Linked DNA regions of Macaca mulatta. The protein of the gene in region 1 interacts with the protein of each later gene in a pairwise test. Links are inferred from orthologs where the notes say so. Each region holds a gene or a part of one and is shown in the gene's direction. Other genes may lie near its edges.

Region 1 (3,648 bases):
TTGTATTTTTAGTAGAGACAGGGTTTCACCATGTTGGCCAGGTCTTGAACTCCTGACCTCAAGTGATCTACCTGCCTTGGCCTCCCAAAGTACTAGGATTACAGGCATGAGCCACCACACCTGGCCTGTTATTTTTTATTTTTATTTTTTCTGAATTTTTTTTATCTGCTTGGTTCAATCAGTGGATGTGTATAGCCAACTATATATTCATATATTCATAGTTTTATAGTTTTCTCTACTGTCCAACTCCATAACATTTCATCATCCCAAAAAGGATCCCCATATCCAGGAGATGATTAAAAAAAGAAAAAGAATTCCCATTATAAGTATCATTGCCCATTTCTCTCTTCCTCCAGCCCCTGGCAACCATTAATCTGCTTTCTGTCTCTGGATTGATTTGCCTGTTCTGGACATTTCATGACTTTTTCTTTTTTTTTTTTTTTTTGAGACGGAGTCTTGCTGTCTCCCAGGCTGGAGTGCAGTGGTGCGATCTTGGCGCACTGCAAGCTCCACCTCCCAAGTTCACGCCATTCTCCTGCGTCAGCCTCCCAAATAGCTGGGGACTACAGGCGCCGGCCACCATGCCCAGCTAATTTTTTGTATTTTTAGTAGAGATGGGGTTTCACCGTGTCAGCCAGGATGGTCTCGATCTCCTGACGTCGTGATCCCCCGACCTTGGCCTCCCAAAGTGCTGGGATTACAGGAGTGAGCCACTGCGCCTGGCCTTTTTTTTTTTTTTTTTTTTTTTTGATGGAGTCTCGCTCCGTGGCTCAGGCTGGAGTGCCGTGGCATGATCTTGGCTCACTGCAACTTCCACCTCCTGGGTTCCAGCAATTCTCCTGCCTCAACCTCTGAAGCAGCTGGGATTACATGTGTCCGCCACCACGCCTAGCTAATTTTTGTAGAGATGCGGTTTCACCATGTAGGCCGGGCTGGTCTTGACCTCCTGACCTCAAGTAATCTGCCTGCGCGGCCTCCCAAAGTGCTGGGATTACATGTGTGAACCACTGCGCCTGGCCAAAATAAATTTATTTATTTTATTTATTTTAGATTCAGGGGGTACATGTGCAGGTTTGTTACAAGGGTATATTGCATTTGGGCTACTAATGATCCTGTTGACCAAGCAGTGAACATAATACCCAATAGGTAGTTTTTCAGCCCTTGCCCCATAGCTGCTTTTGGAATCCCCAGTGTTTATTGTTCCCATCTTTGTGTCCATAAGTACCCAGTGTTTAGCTCCCACTTACAACTGAGAACATGTGGTGTTTGATTTTCTGTTTCTATGTTAATTTGCTTAGGATAATGGCCTCCAGCTGCATCCATGTTGCTGCAGAGGACATGATTTTATTCTTTTTTATGGCTGCACAGTATTCCATGGTGTGTATGTGCCACATTTTCCTTATCTGATCTACCACTGATGGGCACCTGGGTTGATTCCATGTCTTTGCTGTTGTGAATAGTGCTGCAGTGAACATGTGAGGGCAGGTGTCTTTTTAGTAGAGCAGTTTATTTTCCTTTGGGTAGATAGTAATGGGATTGCTGGTTCAAATGGTGACTCAGTTTTTAGTTTTAAGGTTTGTAATATTCTACCCTGTTTCTATTGTATAGCTTTTTTTTTTTTTTTTTTTTTTTTGCTATGCAGGACTATTGCAGTATCTATAGCTTTTTAGTCAGTCTCTGTGATGAATATTTACGTTGTTTCCAGTATTTAGCCATTTAAAATAATGTTGCAGTGATGAATAACCTTGTGCATAGAGTATTTCACATTTTGCCACTATAATTTTGGGATATATTCCTAGAAGTGGGATTCCAAGGTCAAAGGGCAAGTGCATCTACAGTTTTTCTAGATGTGGTCAGATTCCCCCAAAGAGGTTTTTGTATTTTGCATTCCCAGCAAAATACAATCAGCAATGAAGATTGCTGTACCATGTGTTTATCAATTGTGAATTTGTTCCTAGCATTTAGAAATTGGGAGATTCTACTTAAAAATCCTTATTTAAAAAAAAAATCAGAACCTGGCTGTGCTAGGCCTTAATCTACCTATGGCAACAGCTGGCTAGAGCTGAATAATAGCTGCCCCTTTTCTAGGTACTCTCTAGGTTACTGTGGCCTCCACTGGGCGATTTTACTTTCGCTACCTATCAGTCCCCTATAGACAGGAGTTTTTGACCTCTGCTCTAAGTATGGTTGTCTGGGTAGGTAGAATGGAGACAGAGAGTCTGGGACTTGAAGACATAGAGGACAATTTAGATTATTATGTTAGAAGAGCCACCAGTGTGAATGTTGACCCTAAAGAGGGTGGCGGGGAATATGTCAAGGGGATATTAGGAACCCAGGATTGGAATCCTTGAGGAAAGCACATATCCTAGAGGTCCATGGACGACTATCTGAAAAAGAAGGCCTATTTTTTGTGGTTGCCATGGTCCTATACCAAAGAGGTTTTGTGAAGGCAGCATTACAGTGAGTCTGGAAAGGACCAGGGGCTGGGAGCAGGGAGTGTGCTAAAGCCCTCCTGGTGTACTCTTCCTGCCTTCCCCCATATGCTGAAGTTTGAGAGGCTGGGAAGGTGGGGAATGGGAAAAGGAGCTGCTGCTTATGTTGAGTTTAACATTCTTTGGGTTTCTCCATCTAGGTCTTGAGTTCATTCTCTTCCTGTCCTTTTGGCTTCCCTGTTTTTTTTTTTTTTTTTTTTTTTTGAGACGGAGTCTCGCTCTGTTGCCCAGGCTGGAGTGCAGTGGCCGGATCTCAGCTCACTGCAAGCTCCGCCTCCCAGGTTTATGCCATTCTCCTGCCTCAGCCTCCCGAGTAGCTGGGACTACAGGCGCCCGCCACGTCGCCCGGCTAGTTTGGTTTTTTTTTTTTTTTTGTATTTTTTAGTAGAGACGGGGTTTCACCGTGTTAGCCAGGATGGTCTCGATCTCCTGACCTCGTGATCCACCTGTCTCGGCCTCCCAAAGTGCTGGGATTACAGGCTTGAGCCACCGCGCCCGGCCGTTGGCTTCCCTGTTTAACCTGGTCCCTGTTTCAGGAGAAAAGCCTCATCAGTGCCAAGTCTGTGGGAAGACCTTCTCTCAGAGTGGAAGCAGGAATGTGCATATGAGAAAGCATCACTTGCAGCTGGGAGCAGCTGGGAGTCAAGAGCAGGAGCAAACTGGTGAGGAGGGTGGGCAGAGTGGAGGGCTATACCTTCTAGGGTTCAAAGAGCCAAATCACTGTCTTGCCTGGTTATCTGGAAATTTTCTGATTCTGTTTTAGGTAGATAGACCTGGTCTCATTTGATGGGCTGATGGTTTCCAAACATAGCTGTACAGTAGAATCATCTGCAACCTTTTAAAATTTGTATACTTTTTGTTGCTTTTCCCCCCACCAATAAAACAAAGCAATCTGATAAATGAGATAATTTGCAAGATCCCAGAATCTGTAGTTTTAAAAGTTCCCCTAGTGATTTTGATGGTAACTAGTGCTGATCCATGAACTAGCATTTGAGTAACACAGTGATAAAAGATTTCTGCATGGCAAGAGTTTAAGCTTTTTTATTTTTTTAGATGGAGTCTCGCTCTGTCACCCACGCTGGAGTGCAGTGGCGCCATCTCGACTCACTGCAACTTCTGCCTCCTGGGTTCAAGCAGTTCGCCTGCCTCAGCCTCC
Region 2 (3,748 bases), on another chromosome or scaffold:
TTGTGTCCTCTAGCCTCTTAAAGTAACAGGGACACTTAATTTTTTTTTTGGTATCTGATTATACTTACAAAGTATATGATTATCTGAAAACAAATGCGACAAAATATGACTGTAATAACACGATGAAAAGAGATAGAAAAAACATGACACTTATATTAAATGTACTTTTATGACTAAATTTGTTCTAACATAAAAGTTGTTTATCCCTGCCAATGACATCTTGTGGGGGAAAAAAAATGAGTACTCACCTGGCAAAAACAGGAATTGTTAGTCTCCTCAAACGAGAGCTTACTCTTGATATACACAGCGTTCTACCATATCAAGGGTATCAGAGAATTGCTGTAAAAACCTACCGTCTATGTCATCTGCAGGAAAGGGACATGGTAGGTATTAAGAAAAATTAAGAAGACTTCCCCCCCCCCCCCAATTCTGGGCTCCAAAAAATTGGTAGAAGAATGCAGCGCTCATTCTTTTTCACCAAAAGGCTCATTTGTCCACTTTAAGGTGAGGGGATTTGGAAAAGGACTGGCATGTGGAGAAGGAATATCGGCCAGGAATCTGGACTTTCGTTGCTAGTTCTGCCACTTCCCGATTCAGCTCTGATCGTGCAGAGCTGACCAAGCCGTGGTCCCCAGGCTCCCGACTCCAGGCTGCCCACGCTCACCGGGACAGGCCGGCTCGCTCCCCGCAGGCTGCAGTGGGAGGGCTGGACCTGGAAGGCTCCCTCAAAACAGGCCCAAAAGCAGCTCTAGGAGTAACCGGTTCACCGAACATGGGTCCAGAATGATGTCCAAGCTCTGGAAAAGTGGAACAAAGCCACCGCCGCGAAGCAGCAGGTGTTCCAAGCTGAGGGAAGACGGGGCGGCGAGAGGCAGCCTTGCGCATGCGCGTTCCATCCAGGTGCCGCAGCCTCAGGCAGGGATTCAGAAATGAGTGGTGGAAAAGGGGGCTCGCGGCTGGTTACTAGGAGACGGGACGCTCGGGTAGGGCGACTAGGCGCTGCGTGGGCGTGCGCCTGCGCGGCGCGGATGGGCCAGGAAGAGGTCCCTCCTAGGTGCCCTGTAAGGCAGGCAGGTGGACGTACGCGTCGCTCCGTGCGTAAGTGCGCGCGCACGGCTTGTAGTCCCCGCGAGAGGGAAGGTCGAGCCAGGTACGCGTGCGCACCGAGCCTGGGAGCGAGCGGGACGGAAGCAAAGCTGGGGCGCCGGGGAGGTGGAAGACGAGCCCCACTCCGGTACAGAGCGTGAGGGCGGGGCCACGGCGGCGCCGGCTGGCGCTAACCGCCCCCGCCTCCTTCCCGCGGGCTCCCTCCTTCCTCCGATTCGCTGGGGCGGGGCCGGGACGATTTGGGGGTGGGAAGGGAGGAGAAAGGGGCGGAGGATGGAGACTGGGCGGTTCTCGTATTCCCCGCGGAGGCCGAGACCTGGCAGACGCGGGGATGAGCTCTGGGCAGGACGGCGGGCCGAGGAGCCCGGGGAGGGACCCGGAGCTCCAGGTAGAAGCTGCGGAGATGCGCAGGGTGGGGAGAGCGCTGCTGCTGGGCCAGAAGGTCTCTGAGAAGGCGGCTGCAAGCGGGCGGGAGTGGCGGGTGCGGGGCCGTGGCAGGCGGAGGTGGGCGCTCGCCGCGGGAGCCGCTGTGAGGGGCTGCGGCGGGCACCGCTGCCGGCCGGAAGCTTAGCTGCACGCGTTGCCCCTGCTTCTTGGGAGGTTAGGTTTGAGCCCAGTTCCTATGGTCACCGCTTCGCGTCCTCCCGCAGCTCTCCGCTTGGTTGTTGGGGGGACTGTTCAGTTTAGAAACGCTCTGGAAGCTCTGGTGGAGCCGAGGAATTTGGAAGTCACAGATTTGGGAGTTCAACCTGACTCCCTATCGCTCATTTCTGAGCCTCTGTCTAGACTTGGGGTGGTGAAAGGCTGAGATTACATAGGCATTTGCATGAAAATCTGATAATTTTAGTAAAATTATACACGGTAAAGGCAGGGAAAGCTGGCTTTTGTTGAAAAACTATTTGAGACTTAAATTGGATAACTAGGTGATCATGGACTTGATACCTAAAAACTCACAGAAATATGTTTTTTTTTTCACTTTTTTTTCCCCCGCGACTTCAGGAAGGTTTGCATAGATTACAGTGTCCCAACGTTTTCCTTCTTCCATTCCAGGACCTTATATCCTAGGAGATTTCCTTGTTTAAAATTCTCTGTACTGGTGTTCAGCATTTCAAGTATACTTTGTTTACGTGTAAGGACATAAATAGAATAACAATAGGTTTGTAAGTAGGAAAAAAACAGGTTAGTTATAGAAGTAGGATGTCACATTCGAATTTGCTTCCAGAATAAGATTCTTGTTTGTATTTTAATTGATTAATGAGCCAAACTCTTCAGTCTTAGTGGGAAATAACTAGGAAGGTACATTAATGAAATATTAATTTTAAATCCTAAACTTTGGCATTATTTTTTTAATGGCAGCTTCCAAAATATTTCACGTATTGTTTACCTTCTGAAGAAAAATCATTGCTTGTAGCTCAGAATATAATCAGGTGTAGAGATTCTCTGGGAGATCTTTTCTGTCTGCTTTTTCAGTTGCTTAGACTAGTTTGTTTAGGACGATTTGGTTTTGAAGTCCTCCACACACACAGGCAGTTAGAAGTATTATTATTTATCTCCTTTTCAGATTACATGTTTCTTTCCGTCCCCACAGATGGCCACTCTCCTGACTTCTAAGAGCCACTTCCTTGATTTTCCTTAATGTTTCACATCACTGTATGTGAACATGCACATTACAGTTCGGCTTGTTTTTGAACTTCGTACAAATGGATTGTACTGAGTATTCATTTACATCTTGCTGCTTTAGTCAACATTTTTTTAAGATTAATCTTTATTGTTGCTCTCAGTATTTAGTTTGGTGATTGTTTCCCCAAATATTTATCCACTTATTATATAAAATCCTCTCTCAAAATTATTCATAAATCTTGTATGGTTTTCCACATCCTTCTGTTAGTGAGGCTGTTCCTTCTTACTTCAATGTCTGTAAGTTTATGCTTTTGGAGACAATATTTTTAAAAAGAAAAACCCACCTCAACTGTAGTAAACTTTTGTGGAACCAGATTTCAGAATTCCATATGAAGTAGTCCAGTATTTTCCATTCTATCAAAAAATTAAATAATTTGTTGAATACATATTATGTGCTTCATATTTTGCTCAACACTGATGATACTTTTTATTATATAATCTTCTGTTTCACTGAAAAATTAAAATTCAACTAGACAGAAACTTCCTCAGATTTCCATGCCACTTACCTTTTTTTTTGTTTTGAGACATGATCTCACTCTGTCGCCCAGGCTGGAGTGCAATGGTGCGATCATGACTCACTGCAGCCTTGACCTCCCGGACTCAAGTGATTCTCCTATCTCAGCCTCCCAAGTAGCTGGGACCACAGGTGGATGCCACTATGCCTGGATAATTTCTTTTTTCTTTTTTGTAGAGACAGGGACTCACTATGTTGTCCAGGTTGGTCTCAAATTCCTGGGCTCAAGTGATCCTCCGGCCTTGGCCTCCCAAAGTGTGGGGATTATTGGGATTACAAGTGTCTAAATCTTCACCTGTCTTTGCTTTTCTCTTTCTTGTCTCAGGGCAATACGTATTTACCTGGGTTTCCTCTTATTACCTCAGCTGTCTTTCTCCATCTATTAACATTAACTCATGCCTTAGGAATCTTCATTGTTTCTGTACTGTAGGACTTCTTCACCTGGAG
Region 3 (3,748 bases), on another chromosome or scaffold:
CCACCTGCTTGGGGGTCTGAGGCAGGAGGATGGCTTGAACCCTGGAGGTCTAGGCTGTAGTGAGTTGAGATGGCACCCCTACACTCCAACCTGGGTGACAGAGCGAGACCCTGTCTCAAAAACAAAATAAAATAAAATAAAAAGTAAAGAAAAAAAAAAGGCAGCTGGGCGCGGCATCTCAGGGCTCTAATCCCAGTACTCTGAGAGGGCGGATTACCTTAGGTGAGGAATTTGAGATCTGCCTGGCCAACGAGGTGAAAACCCACCTCTACTAAAAATACAAAAATTAGCCGGGTATGGTGGCACACCCCTGTATTCCCAGCTACTCAGGAGGCTGAGGCAGGATGATTGCTTGAACCTGGGAGGCGGAGGTTACAGTGAACTGAGATCGTGCCACTGCACTCCAGCCTGGGCGACGGAGTGAGAATCTGTCTTAAATAAATAAATAAATAAATAAATAAATAAATAAATAAAATGAAAAAACCACAAAACACATTGCACCCCACTCTGAGGATTTTGCATGAATTGTTTTATTTAATCCTTAAAACAATCCTCTAAACTAGGGGCTATTTTCTCTCATGTTAAAGGAGAAAAAGACCCGAAGGGATTAAAACACTTGCCCCAGGTCACACAGCTGCTTAGGGAATGGAGCCCGGGATGTGATTCCGCACTCCCACCTCACTGCCGCCCTTAACCACAATTAAGTCCAACTGTCCAGCATTGCTTGAGTGTGGTATTGTGTTCTTATAGATACGATCCTATTTAAACTTTCTTGTCAAGAGGTATGCAAGACGATCCCCATTTAACTTTGTGTAGCTTGAAGAGGTTGATCATTTTTCCAAGGTCACGCATCGAGTGAGTGGGGAATCAGGAGTCGGAATTTGAACCTGGGCATATCTGTAGTGTAGACCACTGTCGGGGGTGGATGTGTAAGAAGCTTAATTGCCGGGTTTGGCAGGTGCATGGGTAGTTGTGAGGGGCTCGTACTTTGAGAGGCAAAAGCTCCCACTCGCCACCGTCCCCCAGAGTAAAAAGCCACCTCTTTCCACCCCTCACTCGCGCAGCTGCCCGGGCATGCGCCCAGAAGCCCCTCCTTCAGAATCCGCCCTTTACAGGCTCCGCCCATCACCGTAGAGGGCCAATCCCTGGGGCGGAGGGCGGGGCAGCCACGAGAGTGGGCGGTCGCTAAGGGTAGTTAGGAGTCTGGAGTCGTGAGCCGAAGTCAGAACTGCGTCTCGCGACCCAGGCGCCGGTTGCTGGAGGAGAGCGAGCAAGCGATGCTGCCGCTGCCGTTTCCTGATTGGTTGTGGGTGGCTACCTCTTCGTTCTGATTGGCCGCTAGTGAGCAGGGTATGTAAATGAAGGGGCCTGGGAAGAAAAGGGGTACCAGCGGCCGGGTCCTTCACGGAGTTCGATCCCTGGGTCCGACAGGTGCCCGCCGGGGCTGCCCGGGATCGAGACGCGCGGGCCTCTACGTGCTGTCTGCCCCGGCCGGGCCGGGTGAATCACGCCGCAGTCCGAGAAGGGGGCGGAGGCGCCGGCTCCTTGGCTCCGGCTGCGTGACTCACCCGCCCCCGCCGCCGCCGCTTCGGGAGGAGCCGCCTCCACTGCCGGAAGCGAGCGGAGGCCGGGCGCAGAGAACAGCCCGCCTAGGGTCCTGGCTCTCACGGCGCCGGGAGGCCTGCAGGAATCACAGCCGGGCAGTAGAAGGGGTTCTGGGGTCAGAGGGGCCAGAATCCCCAGGGGAAAGCCGGCCTGGGCACCGCCAGGGGGCGCCGGGACTCGGGGGCGGAGTCGGGGGTGGGGGCGGAATTCCTGCGGTTCCGGACTCCACGGACTGCGGGGAAGGGGACGAAGACCCAGTTTTGAGTAGTGTGGTGGGCCACTCTTAAAATCTTGCTAGGCAGGGTCCCGGAACTGGACTCTAAAGTCTTCCTGGCCCAAAAAAGTAGGTAGCGCCAGGGGTCCAAAACTCCATCCAGCCCTACCCCCGCCACTCCAAGAAAAGAGTGGACCCTCAAACTTATCTCAGTGACTGACCCCGGTGCCGATCACGATTTCTCGACAAGCCCTGTCTATTCTGCCTCCCAAAGAAATCCTGACTCGACCGACTTCCTTCCATACCCACTACCAGCTCCTGCTCCAGGCCATCACTATCGTCAGTCCCAAACCAGTACAGCCTACTAGTGGGTCTCAGATCCCCCCTCTTTTTGCCCCCTACAGTATTCCTCGAAGCAGCCATGGGGGGGATCTTCCGGAAACCTAATCAGCTCACACCCCCATTCCCTCCGTGCTCAAATTCCTTTAATGACTGCCCACCACACTCAGGATAAAATCCAAACTCCCTACTAATGCATATGTGGTTTTCTGTGACCTGGCTTGTGCCCATTCCCCCAGCCTCTGGGCTTTTCTTTGCCTTTTTTTGTTGTTCCCTCCTCCCGGAATGCTTTTCCCAGGGTCTCCCATGGCCGACTTCTCTGGCCTGAGGGCTCCATTCAAATGTCACCTCCTTACAGGAGCCTTCTCTGATCATCTAAAAGGTCTCCAGGACCTTTTAGTGTCTTCCTGTAATTCTCCGTACATTTCCTGTGTTTGCTTATTTATTTACTGTTTGAAACGTCATAGTAGACAATAAGTGTTAAACTATGTGAAACTAGTTTAGTATTTATAATATAACTTACTTAGATATAATTATTTATAACGTTATTATAATATATGAAACAGCTGCTTTTGTAGGGGAAAAAGTTGAATGGTCATTCCACATGGTTCACTGAAGAAATAATAATGTTATCATTAAGTGTACTTATTGGCAGGGCATGGCAGCTCACACTTATAATCCCAGTACTTTGGGAGGCTGAGGCGGGAGGATGGCTTAAGGCAAAGAGTTTGAGACCACCCTGGGTAACATAGTAAGACTTTGTCTCTACAAAAAATAAAAGGGGGGAAAAAAAGAGTGTTTATTGATTGAGGGGGGAGGATCACTTCAGGCCAGGGGGTTTGAGACCAGCCTGGGCAATATAGTGAGACCCCATCTCTTTTTTCAGATTAAAAAGTCTATAAATATACTTAAATACAAAATTTAAAATTTAAGGCCGGGCGCGGTGGCTCATGCCTGTAATCCCAGCACTTTGTGAGGCCGAGATGGGTGGATCATGAGGTCAGGAGATCGAGACCATCCTGGCTAACATGGTGAAACCCCATCTTTACTAAAAATACAAAAATTAGCCGGGCGTGGTGGCGGGCGCCTGTAGTCCCAGCTATGTGGGAGGCTGAGGCAGGAGAATGGGGTGAACCCCGGAGGCGGAGCGTGCAGTGAGCCGAGATCGAGCCACTGCACTCCAGCCTGGGCAACAGAGAGAGAGACTGTCTCAAAAAAAAAAAAAAATTTCTTTTAAAGTCTATAGGCTGGGTGTGGTGGCTCACACCTGTAATCCCAGCACTTTGGGAACCAGAGGTGGGCGGATTACTTAAGGTCCAGGAGGTCGAGACCAGGCTGGCCAACATGGTAAAACCCCGCCCCTACTAAAAATATAAAAATTAGCCAGATATGGTGGCGTGCGCCTGCAATCCTAGCTTTTGGGGAGGCTGAGGCACGAGAAACACTTGAACCCGTGAGGCAGAGGTTGCAATGAGCTGAGATCACGGCATTGCACTCCAGCCTGAGCAACAGAGCGAGACTCTATCTCAAAATAATAATAATAATTTATAAATATACATATGCAATTAAATAAAAATTATCTATATCTTT

The links.
Region 2: the proteins of ZNF410 (region 1) and TSGA10 interact in binary tests that used the Homo sapiens proteins (3 or more experiments, as listed by UniProt). The two-hybrid records come from large-scale screens. The link is inferred for Macaca mulatta from reciprocal best matches to the Homo sapiens genes ZNF410 and TSGA10.
Region 3: the proteins of ZNF410 (region 1) and SERTAD1 interact in binary tests that used the Homo sapiens proteins (3 or more experiments, as listed by UniProt). The two-hybrid records come from large-scale screens. The link is inferred for Macaca mulatta from reciprocal best matches to the Homo sapiens genes ZNF410 and SERTAD1.

What each region holds. Positions count from the first base shown.
Region 1 is NC_133412.1:147,098,539-147,102,186, forward strand, and holds part of ZNF410 (zinc finger protein 410), read left to right. Parts: intron 1-2,632; exon of another isoform or gene 2,633-3,028; coding exon 3,029-3,154; intron 3,155-3,648. UniProt on the Homo sapiens protein: Transcription factor that binds to the sequence motif 5'-CATCCCATAATA-3', and is specifically required to silence expression of fetal hemoglobin in adult erythroid cells.
Region 2 is NC_133418.1:7,269,014-7,272,761, reverse strand, and holds the start of TSGA10 (testis-specific gene 10 protein), read left to right. Parts: upstream 1-1,400; 5' UTR 1,401-1,438; coding exon 1,439-1,549; intron 1,550-3,748. UniProt on the Homo sapiens protein: Plays a role in spermatogenesis. When overexpressed, prevents nuclear localization of HIF1A.
Region 3 is NC_133424.1:51,532,408-51,536,155, reverse strand, and holds the start of SERTAD1 (SERTA domain-containing protein 1), read left to right. Parts: upstream 1-1,236; 5' UTR 1,237-1,350; intron 1,351-3,748. UniProt on the Homo sapiens protein: Acts at E2F-responsive promoters as coregulator to integrate signals provided by PHD- and/or bromodomain-containing transcription factors. Stimulates E2F1/TFDP1 transcriptional activity.